Linked DNA regions of Neodiprion lecontei. The protein of the gene in region 2 purifies or fractionates together with the protein of the main gene of each other region. This does not show direct contact. Links are inferred from orthologs where the notes say so. Each region holds a gene or a part of one and is shown on either strand. Other genes may lie near its edges.

Region 1 (5,299 bases), on a different chromosome or scaffold from region 2:
ACCCGACCTACGCATCTTTGTTTTTGAAACTGTGATACAGAATTAATTTTAATTAGATACAAATGTTGACGTGTAGTAGCGTATCTCAGGTGGAAAGTTTGCCAAAGTTGTGTGGAAAACATGTTTTTACTTGTTAGTTTACTTTACACCGAATTTAAACACCGGGATAAAATCAACATGGCGGCCGTTGACACGCTTCAAATTTTGTTATGACTGTAGGATCATTTTAGGTACAAAAAAGACACCAGGTGCAATTTCATGCCTGTCGAAATAATGGCAACAGTATTTTAGTTATATTTCTTGTATTATTTCCAGTATTTCGCCGATAAGCGCTTATAAACTGGGGATTTTTTGTCGGGTCTTCGGGGTTTTTTGAAAAATGTCAACAATCGTGAGTTGGGTGATATATTTCGTTTTGTACGTCTCTTGGCGCGACTTTTGTTCTGCCAATAATTATAAGAGTTTGAAGTGTCATTCGAAAATCGTTGTATCGATTTGACTCGACCAAGAGAGGGGAGCAATTTGTTTTCTGATAATAATCGACGAGGGAATAGCATGTGGCTGCAGTCGTACAAGGTATGAATAAATAAATACTGCATTATTGATTTTTCACTTACTGCATAACTTGTGAATATCATCATGCATTGCATATATTAATAGTTGTACATTATTAATGCAAAAATTTTCTTAAGTCTATGCGTCGCAATAATTTCTGCGCATCCTATTGGCCATTCACACATCAGTAATCATAATGATACTAATAATAACTTATAAATTACACATCATCCGTTCGGTTCTTGTTCAGTAGAATAAAGATAATGAAATACATTACGTAAGGCAGTCATTATAAATTTTCTATCTCATGTTATTTGAAGAGAATTAGAAGAAATCTTTATAGCCGGCTAGGATGCTGCGACATGTGCTCCATGTATTTTTACGTTCAAAAAACATCCGTATAATTGAAACAAGACGCAGCATCATAACATGCAACATTTTCAATTAACTGTTTGTCAAACATACAAAATTATCGAATCTAATAATGAATTAACTATTTTTGTTTACATATGAATGTCAATCTTTAAACAACTTGGCGGAAATTGAACGAGTTGTAGTTGGAAATCGTAAACTATTGAGCCCTTCTTAAATAACGCCGACGGATCATTCGTTGGCGCACAATTCATGATGTTGCCTGCTACGTTATTCTTTTTCATTATTGATAATTCTCTTAATTGTTGATTTAATTTTTTTCACTAATACCCTCTTAGTCCATTGTACACTTTGTTTACAGAACCTTGCCGCAGGAGCTTCTTGATATCTGTAAGTAGAATTAGACAGTTATACACTACACTAATACAATCCTTGCATGCATTATAAAACCATAAATTATCGAAATGGGAGGTACAGAAAACAAAGTAAGTCATAACGAAGATTTTTACCTTCTTTTTCGGTTTCCGAAAATTCGGATTTTGGGAACTCTACGTTAAACGTGATGTACAAAGTACCATGAAGGTTGTTATTTTCATAATTGGGCATGCCCTCGCCCTTCTTTCGGATCCTAGCTCCTGGCCAAGTTATTTTATCCCTCTGTATGGTGACTTTGTGCCCATCTAGGTGATCGATCTCCATAGTGAACCCTATCAAAGCGTCCTGCAGAGATATAGTCACATTGGCATAAAGATCATCTTGAACTCTTTCGAAAACGGGATGCGGTTGGGTGCGTATTCTGGAAATTTAACAAAGTTTTCACATTAATACAGAAAGGCTACTCCCTGTTTGAATGGTAATCAACAGTAACATGCAGTTCTCATTGCAAACACATCCCCCCTGTCCTTTTTTGACCTTACTTGATTATCAAATCTCCGGGATCTCCATCCAAATGCGGTTCCCCTTCGGCAGTGAATCTCGTTTCCTGTCCATCCACCATCCCCGGTTCCACTTCGACTTCCAGTGTCCGTTCTTCGTTTACTAATCTGACGTTCGGACATTCGTCGCAAACTGTTTGCTGCATCATCTGGAATCTACCTGGGCCTAGATTTCGTGTTACCATTTCTTGCCTGCAGTTACACTTTCGCGTTCCCGCGGCAGCTTTCATTACTGGCTTGTTCCTTGTTATCTGCATGATCCAAAAAAACTAGATTAGAACTGTCTTCAAATCAGATGCCTTCAACTCTACTAATTTTCAGATGACCATAATAAATTAGAGGCCTAGTTATTGTGAAACAAGCTATAACATTCATAACCAGATTCGCCAAATTAATAACATTACTACAAAATTGCATTATTTTGAAGAGTGATAATATGAAACTAAGTCCACGGAGTATAATTATTATTCGAACAATCACGTTAAAATACTTTTTAAATTAGAATTGATCGAAATTATTATCAGTGATTTCAACAGACAGCCTGGAATGAAACTAATTCAATCAAAACACGAATAGTTTGAGCTAAGTGATATCGAACCTCTATAAAGTTTCCGCTATAAAGTTCTTCCAACGTCACTGGCAGTTCCATGACAATGTTTGCTCCCTTGGGGGTTTCATGTTGGTGCTGTGAATCACCGCCAAAATGAAATCCAAAGTCACCAAAGAAGCTGGCAAAGGGATCGGCATTGTTCATCATGCCATCTTTTTTCAGACACTCCTCACCACACCTATCGTACATTTCTCTTTTTTCTGTGTCAGAGAGAACCTCGTAGGCAGCCCCCAAGTCCTGGAACTTTTGTGATGAGTCCGGATCATCCTTGTTCTTATCCGGGTGCAATTCCTTGGCCAATCTTCTGTACGCCTTTTTTATTGTATGGGTATTTGCATTTCGTGATACCCCGAGGATGGAGTAGAAGTCCCTCCTTTAAATGATTTTCATATACACGTCAACGATTTGTCTTAATAAAAAGATTCGAGGTTATGTATTGGACTGCTCTCTTTTTAATAGCATAATACAAGCATTTGTGACTTAATGATTGATCGTTTTTGGTTAAGATATGATTTCGGTTTATATGATAAAATTAGACTCACCCGGCCAGTACAAATAGAACGCATAGAATTAAATTGACTAGAAATATCCTGGTTAATTGTGCCGCTGCCATCCTAGCAGACGTTTAGCTATCACCATACGTAGCGTCATGTATAAGTGCATCCACATCCAACTCTGGTCGTGGTTCTCTGTGATTGGCTTGACGCGATTTGACATAAACAAAAAAAAAACCGATAGATAAGAAACTTCGTCACACTCACTCCGTGGTGTTTCATTGTTTGGTATTTGAGCTGCCTGACGGCCTATAATAAAAAGTGAAGTGAATTACGTACTTTTCGAATAAATCTTATATTCTAATTTCGAATAATTTTACTTTTTGCTCTACGTGTTGACGTAGTTTTCATTAAGCTGGCTACCCTCTTTCATTTCGCCATAAAATACGTCGATCGGCTTATAATTAGCGTACCAGTTACCAACGGTAGATGGTGAGTCTTATCCCGGAATTATATTTACGAACACACCCCAAATGCCGTGGGTTTCCCCTTTTTATTTTCTAATAATGTATATTGATACATCCTCGTACATGCCAGTTTAAAGGGGTGTCATTTGACGCAGATATAAAAAGATGGCATGAATTCTACGATTTACTATAGCAATTTCGTAGAATCCATGCCATTTCTATGTTTCTGCGTCTAAAGAAAACACATTGTACTGTTTTTGTTCAGGATTGCGTATAGAATGCAACTGTTGAGCCCTTTTACGCGTTTGACATACGTGGACTTGGATATTTAGAGATAATATATACGTCGACGTCGAAAGCGACCAGGGCACCCCTTTAGGTGAGATCGGTACGTATGCTCTCTGCGTATTTTCAGCGGCTGATAATTTACGCAACGGTTGCTATCCCCTCTCTTGACCGATGAGTTCCAAACGTTTCAAAGTAGGGATAAGATTACTAGTAAAAGATTAATCCAGTAAGTCTATAAGCTTTTGAGTATAAGAGCACATTGTAATTCAGTAGAACGGAAACATACCTGGTATCTGATCTTGTTTCAAAATGCCACTGCGAGGAATCAAAGTTATCGAACTAGCCGGACTCGCACCAGTACCTTTTTGTGGTATGATATTATCAAATTTTGGGGCATCAGTGGTCAGAGTAGACAGAGTAAGAATTTTAATAAACTATAGTATTCAGACTATGTATTGAGAACATCAAAAGTCCAAGAAAATTGACATTATTTTTAATGAATAAATCATATGCATTCATTATAGGCTTCCAGTGAAGTGCCAAATATTGCTATTGATTTCTTGGGCAATGGAAAACGTTCTGTAGGATTAAATCTCAAGTCTAAAGAGGGTACTGATATACTGAAAAAGATGTCTCAACAGAGCGATGTTATTCTTGATCCATTCCGACCAGGCACTATGGAAAAACTGGGACTAGGTCCAGACACTCTAATGCTAAAAAACAAGAGACTCATCTACGCAAGGCTAAGTGGATTTGGACAAACTGGTCCATATGCCAAGATGGCTGGGCACGATATAAATTATGTCGGTTTATCTGGTAAGACAATCGCAAATCTTCAGAATATTTTGATATGATTTAATATCTATCGCTATAAAATAATGACTAGTAAAGCTGTTACACAGGTCTGCTTTCGCTCTTCGGTAGACACCATGAGAAACCAACTCCACCTGTAAATCTTACTGCAGACTTCGGCGGTGGCGGCTTGACCTGTGCTTTCGGCATAGTCCTTGCATTGCTGGAACGAACACGGAGTAATGAGGGTCAAGTAATTGATGTTTCTATGGTTGAGGGTTCAGCATACTTGGGGAGCTGGTTATACCGCTCGCAAGGACTTGCCGGACTATGGGGACAACCCAGAGGAAAAAATTTGTAGGGAAAATTAGGATAGATTATCATTCAAAAGACAACAAGTGTTGATTTGTTTTCATATTTTTAATTGGTTACTTCAGGTTGGATGGAGGAGCTCACTTTTATGATACATACGAAACAAGGGATGGACAATTCATGGCTGTCGGTGCCCTTGAGCCTCAATTCTATGCAGTTTTGTTAGAGAAACTAGGTCTTTCAGAAGACGACTTGCCCCAGTTTGGAGACTTTGAGGAAAGTCGTTCACGGCTGGCCAAGATATTCAAGGAAAAGACACAGGATGAATGGTGCACGGTATTTGAAGGCACGGATGCTTGTGTTACACCTGTGCTGTCACTAGAATCTGCACCTCTCAATCCACAAAATGAGGCTAGATGCAGTTTTCAAAAATCCAAATCAGGAGACATCATACCGAGTCCTGCGCCACGGCTG
Region 2 (7,657 bases):
AGCTTGAAAGACGAGAACAGGAAATGACTGAACTAAAGGTAAGGAGGATAACATCGAGTTTTCTCGTTGCAGATACTTGAACAAAATTGAATTTGTGTATCGCTCCAGGATCACATCGAAGGTCAATTAGTTGAACTAGAGGAACTGAGCTTGTTGAGAGACGCCAGGCAAGTTTTCATCGACGAAGTACTAGCGGAAAAGGAGCGAGCTAGAAAGGAAGAGGAATACTGGCGAGAAATTCATCGGGTCGCCACCCTCATTCAGGCACAGTGGAGGGGGTACATGGTTCGAAAACAAATCGGCCCCTTCAAAGGGCTCCGAGCACGGTTAAAGAAACGCAAAGGCAAGGGTGGCAAAGCCCAGAAGATGGCTGGAAAAGGACGTAAGAAGCCTAGGACTTCACCCTCGAAAAAGAAAAAATAACCATGAACCAAACTTCAGAGTTCTTCGATTAAATATCTCATCACAGCACGTGACGCATTATACCGAAAAAAATAAAATTGACCTTATCACCACAGTGATTTTTTAATTGGAATATTCGAGTAATGTTTTACTTTTTTATTACGCGATAATTCCATACTACACCTGTTTTTGGAATATGTCATATACGTACATATACTAATCTTCCGACTTTTTTTTTTTTTTTTTTTTTTACTACGTTATATTTCAAGCTACTTTGCTGAATTCGACTTTAGCCAGTAACTTGTTTATTTTTACAACAATGTGATATGTTATCCCCTTTTGTTTTATTTCCAAATATCACAGAAATTAGTATTGAAAGATGGGATCCCAATCATCTGAAATAATACTGTAAAAAAGATAAATAAAAATTTTCTCCGTAGTAATATAAATTATTCAAATATATTTTTAAACAAACTTATCAGTGACACAGTATGTACAAGAACACACACACACACACACACACACGCGCGCGCATTTGTATATATGCCAACTTCTCGGGATACAAGACTACACATAATAGCCCAGCATCTGAAGTATCGGCATAATTTGATGCACAAATTACAAGTATGTACAATCATGCACGTATACATACACCCACCGCTTTTGATCAAAAGGGAAGTGGCACCTATTCCGTAGCTTTTGTTTTGGATTACGACGAGTAGAGATGATACTCACTATCCAAAGATTTACATCACTCGTCCTGTATGTATATAATAATATACGTGTTGAGACTTCTAAGGGTAAAAATAAAACATTTACAAACGAAAAATTAATTATTCACGCTATAATAATGTCTTTTGGACCCTGGAAGTCTGTTCACTTCTCACGTCGTTTCGATTTTTTTTTATCATATTAAAGAGAACTTCGCAACAATTAATTGCACCTACGAAGATTAGAAACTTATTAATGGCTTCACGCGAGTATCCGCAATAGCTGTTTGGCAATTGAGAGAAATCTGTGTCTACTCTGTGAATAAGATCGGAACATTGATATCTCTCGAAATACGAGGAGTTAACTGAAAGTTCCGTGTGCGTGTAGAAGATTCATCAACTTTTTCACGCCCAGTTGCAGAATCGCAAACTGTTTCTAATCCCACTAGCAATTAATACGATAAAAATTAATTTCAGGCAGCTTGATTCTTTTTTTTTACACTAATTGCCTATTCCGAATCAGAAAAAGGAAGAGTAGTGGATACCAGAACGAAATAAGAAATTGTGCTTTCAATATGTATAACTATATATCCATTACCGTAAGACCTCGACATGTGTTTGTAAATCATATGAATGTAAAGTTACATATTCTTTTACGAATAAATAAAGGCGAGTCAAAGAAAATGTAAACTTTAGAACGTAAACGCAATCAGTAAAGAGGACTCCAGCATATTACCAATTACGTGCTGCAATCTTGTTAACAAGTGATGCTGCTGTACCTTAGAAGTATATTTTTCAACCTGAAGTAATTTAAATTCAGGGTCAAAGAGCAATGTAATAAAAATGTGAGAGCAATTGAAACGATTGCTCATAGATATCATACAGTTTAATACAGTAAAATCTGTTATTGCATCTTTCGACAAAGATTGTAGTTCTACTTCCCAAAAATAAGATGCTAAAAAATTCGGTCAAACTATTGTTAGGATTTGTCAAATTTTATTTTCGTAACACGAAAGCCAAGTAACGGTATAACAGATCAGCCCAGAGCACGATTAAATAAATTTTCTCAATATCTCATAACCTATTTCAGTACGAAAATTTATGTATTTAGTTCGACCAGATTCAAAGTTTTGTGTATAATAAACATATGGGTATTAATAATGTTTTGAAGATAAAGTAAGAGTAGTTAGGAATGAATTCACGTAATTTCTATTAGATTTTGTAAACCCAGTTTCAGTGAAAACATTCGTTGTATGCAGCGGCTATGTAAAAAAAAAAAAAAAAAACTAAGTGACAAACACGGTTGCCCAAGGTATTTCACCACTTCATTACTGAACATTTTTTATCGTAAATAAATAAGCGGAACTCGGGTTCAGCTTAAATGGGACGTAGCCACTTCAGGAAGTAATCCTAATAATTTCGAACCCCAATTTACAGTGCTTTGGTAATAATTGCGATATGAAGAGATGAAGCTATCGATTACTACAGGCAGTATGAACGCATGAATTTAAATGTACAACATTGAATCGAAAATTTAAAATGCATCTGAAGCGTTTGCTGAAGATTTCTAGTATAATATCTTGTGAATGTTTATCTCTTGTTTCACTTAAACAAGAAAATCATGAGCAGTTTGAAAAATGTGCATAAATTAGAGACTGTCCTATTACGATTTCTTTGGTATCCAGTACTCTTCGATAATTCGGTCAAGCAATTTGATATAAAATTCACGTCTGCGACCTAAATTCACTCACACCCATTAGATAACCGACAGGAAAAGAAAGGCGGAGTTCTGCAGTGCGTTTAGTTATACATATTGTTGTAATAGCAAATGCCCGACGTGTTTTCGTATATCGTCGTCATTAAAAATTCAATAGAACTACTGAGTTTCTTGATTTTGCTAAGGGAAGTGGAACTTGAATTGGAAGGGTGAGCCGTGAGGGCGTGCGAAGTGTGAAAATTCGTGGAAGGGATTGAATCCTTGTTGTCGTCCAGATTCAGGATCTAGCGGATCCTCGCCCTGATCAAACTTTGCACGTTTTTCAGGATCAGTCAATACTTCTTTAGCTGCAGCGATGTCAATGAACTTTTTCTCTGCACGCTTCTTCTCTTCCCCTTCTTGGAAGTTGTCAGGATGCCATTTTTGAGCCGCCTTTCTATAAGCTTTGACGATTTCCTTTTTGGAGGCGGTTCTTGGAACTGAAAGGATTTTGTAGTAGTCTCGGGATTCTGATTGCTTTTGCAATCTCTGCGCTCTCTGAACACCATCCTTAGCTCTTTGCAAATTTGGATCTATTTCCAGTGCCTCTTTGAAATCCCTGATCGCTGTTTGAAATAAACGAAATTATGTTGTACTTGCATTCGATACAAAAAAATCTATACAACAAAACTTATTTGCTGTAACATACCATCGTCATATTGTTCAGCAGCAATGTAGGCTTCTGCCCTATCACAGAATAGGCCTGGTTCTCGTTGGATCTCGAGAGCGTCGTGACAATTTTCTATAGCTTTAGCAGGATCATTGTTACCAAGATGACATCGGCAGAGCAATTGGGCAGCTAGAAAACGCACATTTTGTACGTGCGGTTCATTTTTGAGAACACGCTTACTTCCGTCAATGCAACTTTCATAATCTTTAGCCTCTTCAGATGTCTCTGCATCGTTTATAAACTTCGCAATCTTCTTGACTTTTTTGTAATGTGGAAAGCACTGTTTGTGTTCCGGATCCAACTTTAAGCACTCCCGAATTTCCCTAACACACGAAATTGAAAGAAATAATTTTTGAACAATATATTAATATCAACTATTGAAAAACTGCTGCTCAAAGAAGACACTCACTTGAGAGACTCGTCGACTTGGCCCAGGCGATACAATAGCGAAGAGAGCTTGAAGTATCCCTGAGTATTGTCGGCCAAAAGTTTTGTCGTCGATCGTATATCAGAAACAGCGTTCATGTAATCACCTAATGCTGCATGGCTCTCGGCTCTCAGTTCCCGAAGGTGCGATGCCCAAGGGCAAACTTCTATTATTCGATTTATCAACTGAATAACTGCTGGATAATCACCACTTTGTGATAACACTTCAGCCAGCTGAATATCCTCCCTGACTGGAGATAATTTGTACAACCCATTCAAAGCATCTTCGTTCGACGGATCAAATGCCAGCTGAACAGACGTAAAAATCAATTATTCAAGTATTTGCCATTTTACTTTATTTGTATTCTGAGAAATCTTAGTAAATCAAATGATGAAAAGGCTACTCTCAGGATACATATCTAATCTAATCTGTTTCCAGCCGATTATGGTAAAGAAAGTGAAACAGATCGATTCTATACTTTAATACCATATGTGATCACATGAAATGAAGTATTATGTATGTAAACTGTGGTGGCTTGATCACTGCAATATACACGTTTATATTAAAGTAAGCGTCGAGCTTGATACAGTAATGTGAAACAACAGCTACAAGAACAATGCTTTCCAATAGAGTTGCAAGGATTGCAATTCCCATTTGCATTCGGTCTTTCGCTCCAAGAAAATCTTAGTAGAAATACGTAACATTCAACATAAATACAATAAGAATTAGACATTTAGACCAAAAAAAAAGTCAAATACTGGGAAAACTTACATAGCTACGGTTATGAGGAAATGGAGGTATCTTGAGTCAGAAACACTTACCACATTATGAAAGTCGACTTCAGCTGCGTCTAATTCGGCCTGTTTCAACAATACGTTACCACGCTGTAATCTAGCGGCATGAAAATCAGGCTTCAATTCCAAAACTTTGTCCAAATCAAATAAGGCGAACTTTGCTTTACCGAGGGCTAAGTACACCGTACCTCTTTTGTAATATGTGAGGTAGTTATTCGGATCACCCTCTGCGTAAGTAAAGAAAATTGAAGCGTCATCACATGTGTTTGTAATTTTAGGGATTGACTGAATCAACTGTGACGTACGACAAAGAAATCAACAGGTTTTCAAAAAGTCTAGAAACATCAGAACGAGCTGCCTGTCTTTGATGAACTATAATTTTTGATGTGTGTAAACGAAGAAACAGAATTTTCGGATAAACAAGAATAGAAACACTTGACCGAGGTAAAAGTTAAATCATATAATTATTCATGTACAAAATTCACTCACCCACTGCGGCATGATAATGGGACAAGGCATCTTGAAGTTGACCTCTGGCTAAAAATTCCCTCCCTAGTTCTAAATGCCTGTCAATCTCGGCCTGAGAAACGCTCAGAGCAGCTGTGAAAGTGAAAAGCGTTCAAATTGTTTAAATGCTCAGCCGAGAGAAGTGCAGGCAATGGGAAGAGAAATAGTTTCGCGAAAAAGGTTAGAGTAACTCACCATCTAAGGACCGTTCTAATACAACCAGTATCAGCCAATATTGAAACATGACTGGAAGAATCGACGTTTGCAGAGGTTGTTTTCCGTTGGATTATGCTTCAAACTTAACAACAGTGTACACAAACGTTGACTCGCCTCCCCGATATCGCAAAACTGACTAGCCGTACCGCCATTGCGATCGTGGTCTATCCTCATTGGTCCAACTCATTGAACTTCATGATCGAGGAACACACGTGATTACGTCCGCAAATTAGGCAGCGTGTCACGACGGCGACTCTATTTCACCTTCCGTAAGTAGATGCTACGCCTATGGCATCCGCGTAATCACCCATAAATTTGAAATTTGATATTCTTTCGCCAACGAAATGGCCAAGGATTAAAAAATTATTCGATTTATCACGAATCATGTAGAATACGTTCAATGTTACAGCAGTCAAATAATAGCCGCATAGTCGTGAGGCTCTTGGTTGTTCGAAAGAAGTAATAAGTGAAAATTTATATTCTCATAGTTTTTGGCAGAATACAAAAAATATCGGACGATAATCAATCGAAGCTATTCAGATTCGATACTACCCAATGTCTGATAAAAAAAAAGTCAATGCCTGATAAAATCCATTACTGGCACAATATTTTTATTGGCATTGCGATTAATATCATCACGGCACATGCTTTGCGACAAATTTGATAGACATCAATATACTTCGCAATTTACTCGAATACACGTAGGACAAACTGTGTAAACGAAAAAATCGTATCGAGATTAAATATGAAACCTTTAAAAATATTTATGATTTAACAAATTTTTAGTACTATACAAAGTTTGTAGGAGTTACGCCTTGTTTATTGATAATACTGAATAATTACATGACAATGCTTGAATTTGAAACCAGACCGCTCGTTTCTCTGACAGTATGTAATATTTATTGGTAATGGTATTATAGGATAAAATTGAGTACCTATTCGGTCACGAAATTAATAAATGTGAAAACGGCAGTCAACGCTCCAAAAATTTACAATCAATCCAAGATAATGAGCAATTTGTATATCACATCTGATGGACAAGTCAAAGTGTTCTCCAAAGATGAAATATTCTGAAGGAAATTGTACAAATGTTTGAGAATGCTCAACTTACAATTTTTCCCACTTTTCAAATCTCGATTATTATAGTATCGGATGTCCCGTCAAGTTCGAGGCCGTTGAAAAACTTGAATAACTTGGAAACTGAGTTTGTGAAAAAAAGTTTCAACAAATTATACAGACTAACGAATAAAGGGCACAGAAGGGAGAACGGCCTCGGATGTCTGTAGTAAATATCTTGCCTGTTTTGCATCCAACATTTCCATTCCACAAAATATTTGAATAACGATTATTGCGGATACAATGGATTCTGTAATTCAACATTGAAATCGGATAATTCCCTGAAATATAATTATTGCTATAGAGACCTTTATTACGGAACTGATAGAAATAAATACACTTGAAGCTGCATCATTCTTGTTGCTTTTATCTTTAATCTTTATTGTATCATTTGCTTTTAGCTATTCTCCTGTCACTCCTCACATCTGTAATAACTAACATAATACTACAAACAAACAAATAACGTTTGATCCGATAATCATTGTGAACGTATGCAGTACGATACATTCATATTAAATCAGATTGTTCCTTTGGAAATTTAATTAATCGTAGCCTTGCTGCACCAGTTTATTAATTACCCTAAACGGAATTGGGTACTCGTGTGAAATGCAAAGGAAAAACACGCGTTTTTAAAGCAGTATTTCAGGTATTTCATATGTTTAAGACAATAATGTACGTAGTTTTTTTTAATTATTGTTTTCTTTTTATTGATTGGAATACCTGCACAAGGTACAAGTGATTGGATTGATATATTTTTTTTGTGTTATTTTAATTTTTCTAGGTTTTTTTTTTATAATTCAACTAAGATAGCATATTAAACCTGTGATCACTAGTAAATCTCTGACCGAATGGTACATTCGCCAATGCGATATATCTATATCATTTTTTCTTTTACTATGAAAATTGTGTAATAATTATTTATTAGTAAAAATTGAAATGGATTGTGTATTAATTGGGCATGCACGTCGTTCGGTATGAAAAATTCTGTACGCAGATGATAAACTTTACTGCTACTTGTTACCTCGTCATTAAACATCGAAAGAAGTATATGCATAACGG

What was found.
Region 1: the proteins of dnaJ homolog subfamily C member 3 (region 2) and dnaJ homolog shv purify together in Homo sapiens (affinity purification with mass spectrometry; 3 studies listed by BioGRID and IntAct, with this or other methods). This does not show direct contact. The link is inferred for Neodiprion lecontei from reciprocal best matches to the Homo sapiens genes DNAJC3 and DNAJB11.

What each region holds. Positions count from the first base shown.
Region 1 is NC_060261.1:31,356,253-31,361,551, reverse strand, and holds dnaJ homolog shv, read right to left. Parts: upstream 3,176-5,299; 5' UTR 3,086-3,175; coding exon 3,015-3,085; intron 2,846-3,014; coding exon 2,461-2,845; intron 2,114-2,460; coding exon 1,845-2,113; intron 1,724-1,844; coding exon 1,437-1,723; intron 1,316-1,436; coding exon 1,251-1,315; 3' UTR 602-1,250; downstream 1-601. Other genes in the region: alpha-methylacyl-CoA racemase, read left to right, coding at 4,031-4,138, 4,246-4,537, 4,624-4,870, 4,951-5,299. UniProt on the Homo sapiens protein: As a co-chaperone for HSPA5 it is required for proper folding, trafficking or degradation of proteins.
Region 2 is NC_060263.1:26,116,421-26,124,077, reverse strand, and holds dnaJ homolog subfamily C member 3, read right to left. Parts: upstream 5,656-7,657; 5' UTR 5,511-5,655; coding exon 5,462-5,510; intron 5,360-5,461; coding exon 5,249-5,359; intron 4,987-5,248; coding exon 4,787-4,986; intron 4,274-4,786; coding exon 3,948-4,273; intron 3,862-3,947; coding exon 3,518-3,861; intron 3,435-3,517; coding exon 3,010-3,434; 3' UTR 632-3,009; downstream 1-631. Other genes in the region: dynein regulatory complex protein 9, read left to right, coding at 1-38, 109-423. UniProt on the Homo sapiens protein: Involved in the unfolded protein response (UPR) during endoplasmic reticulum (ER) stress.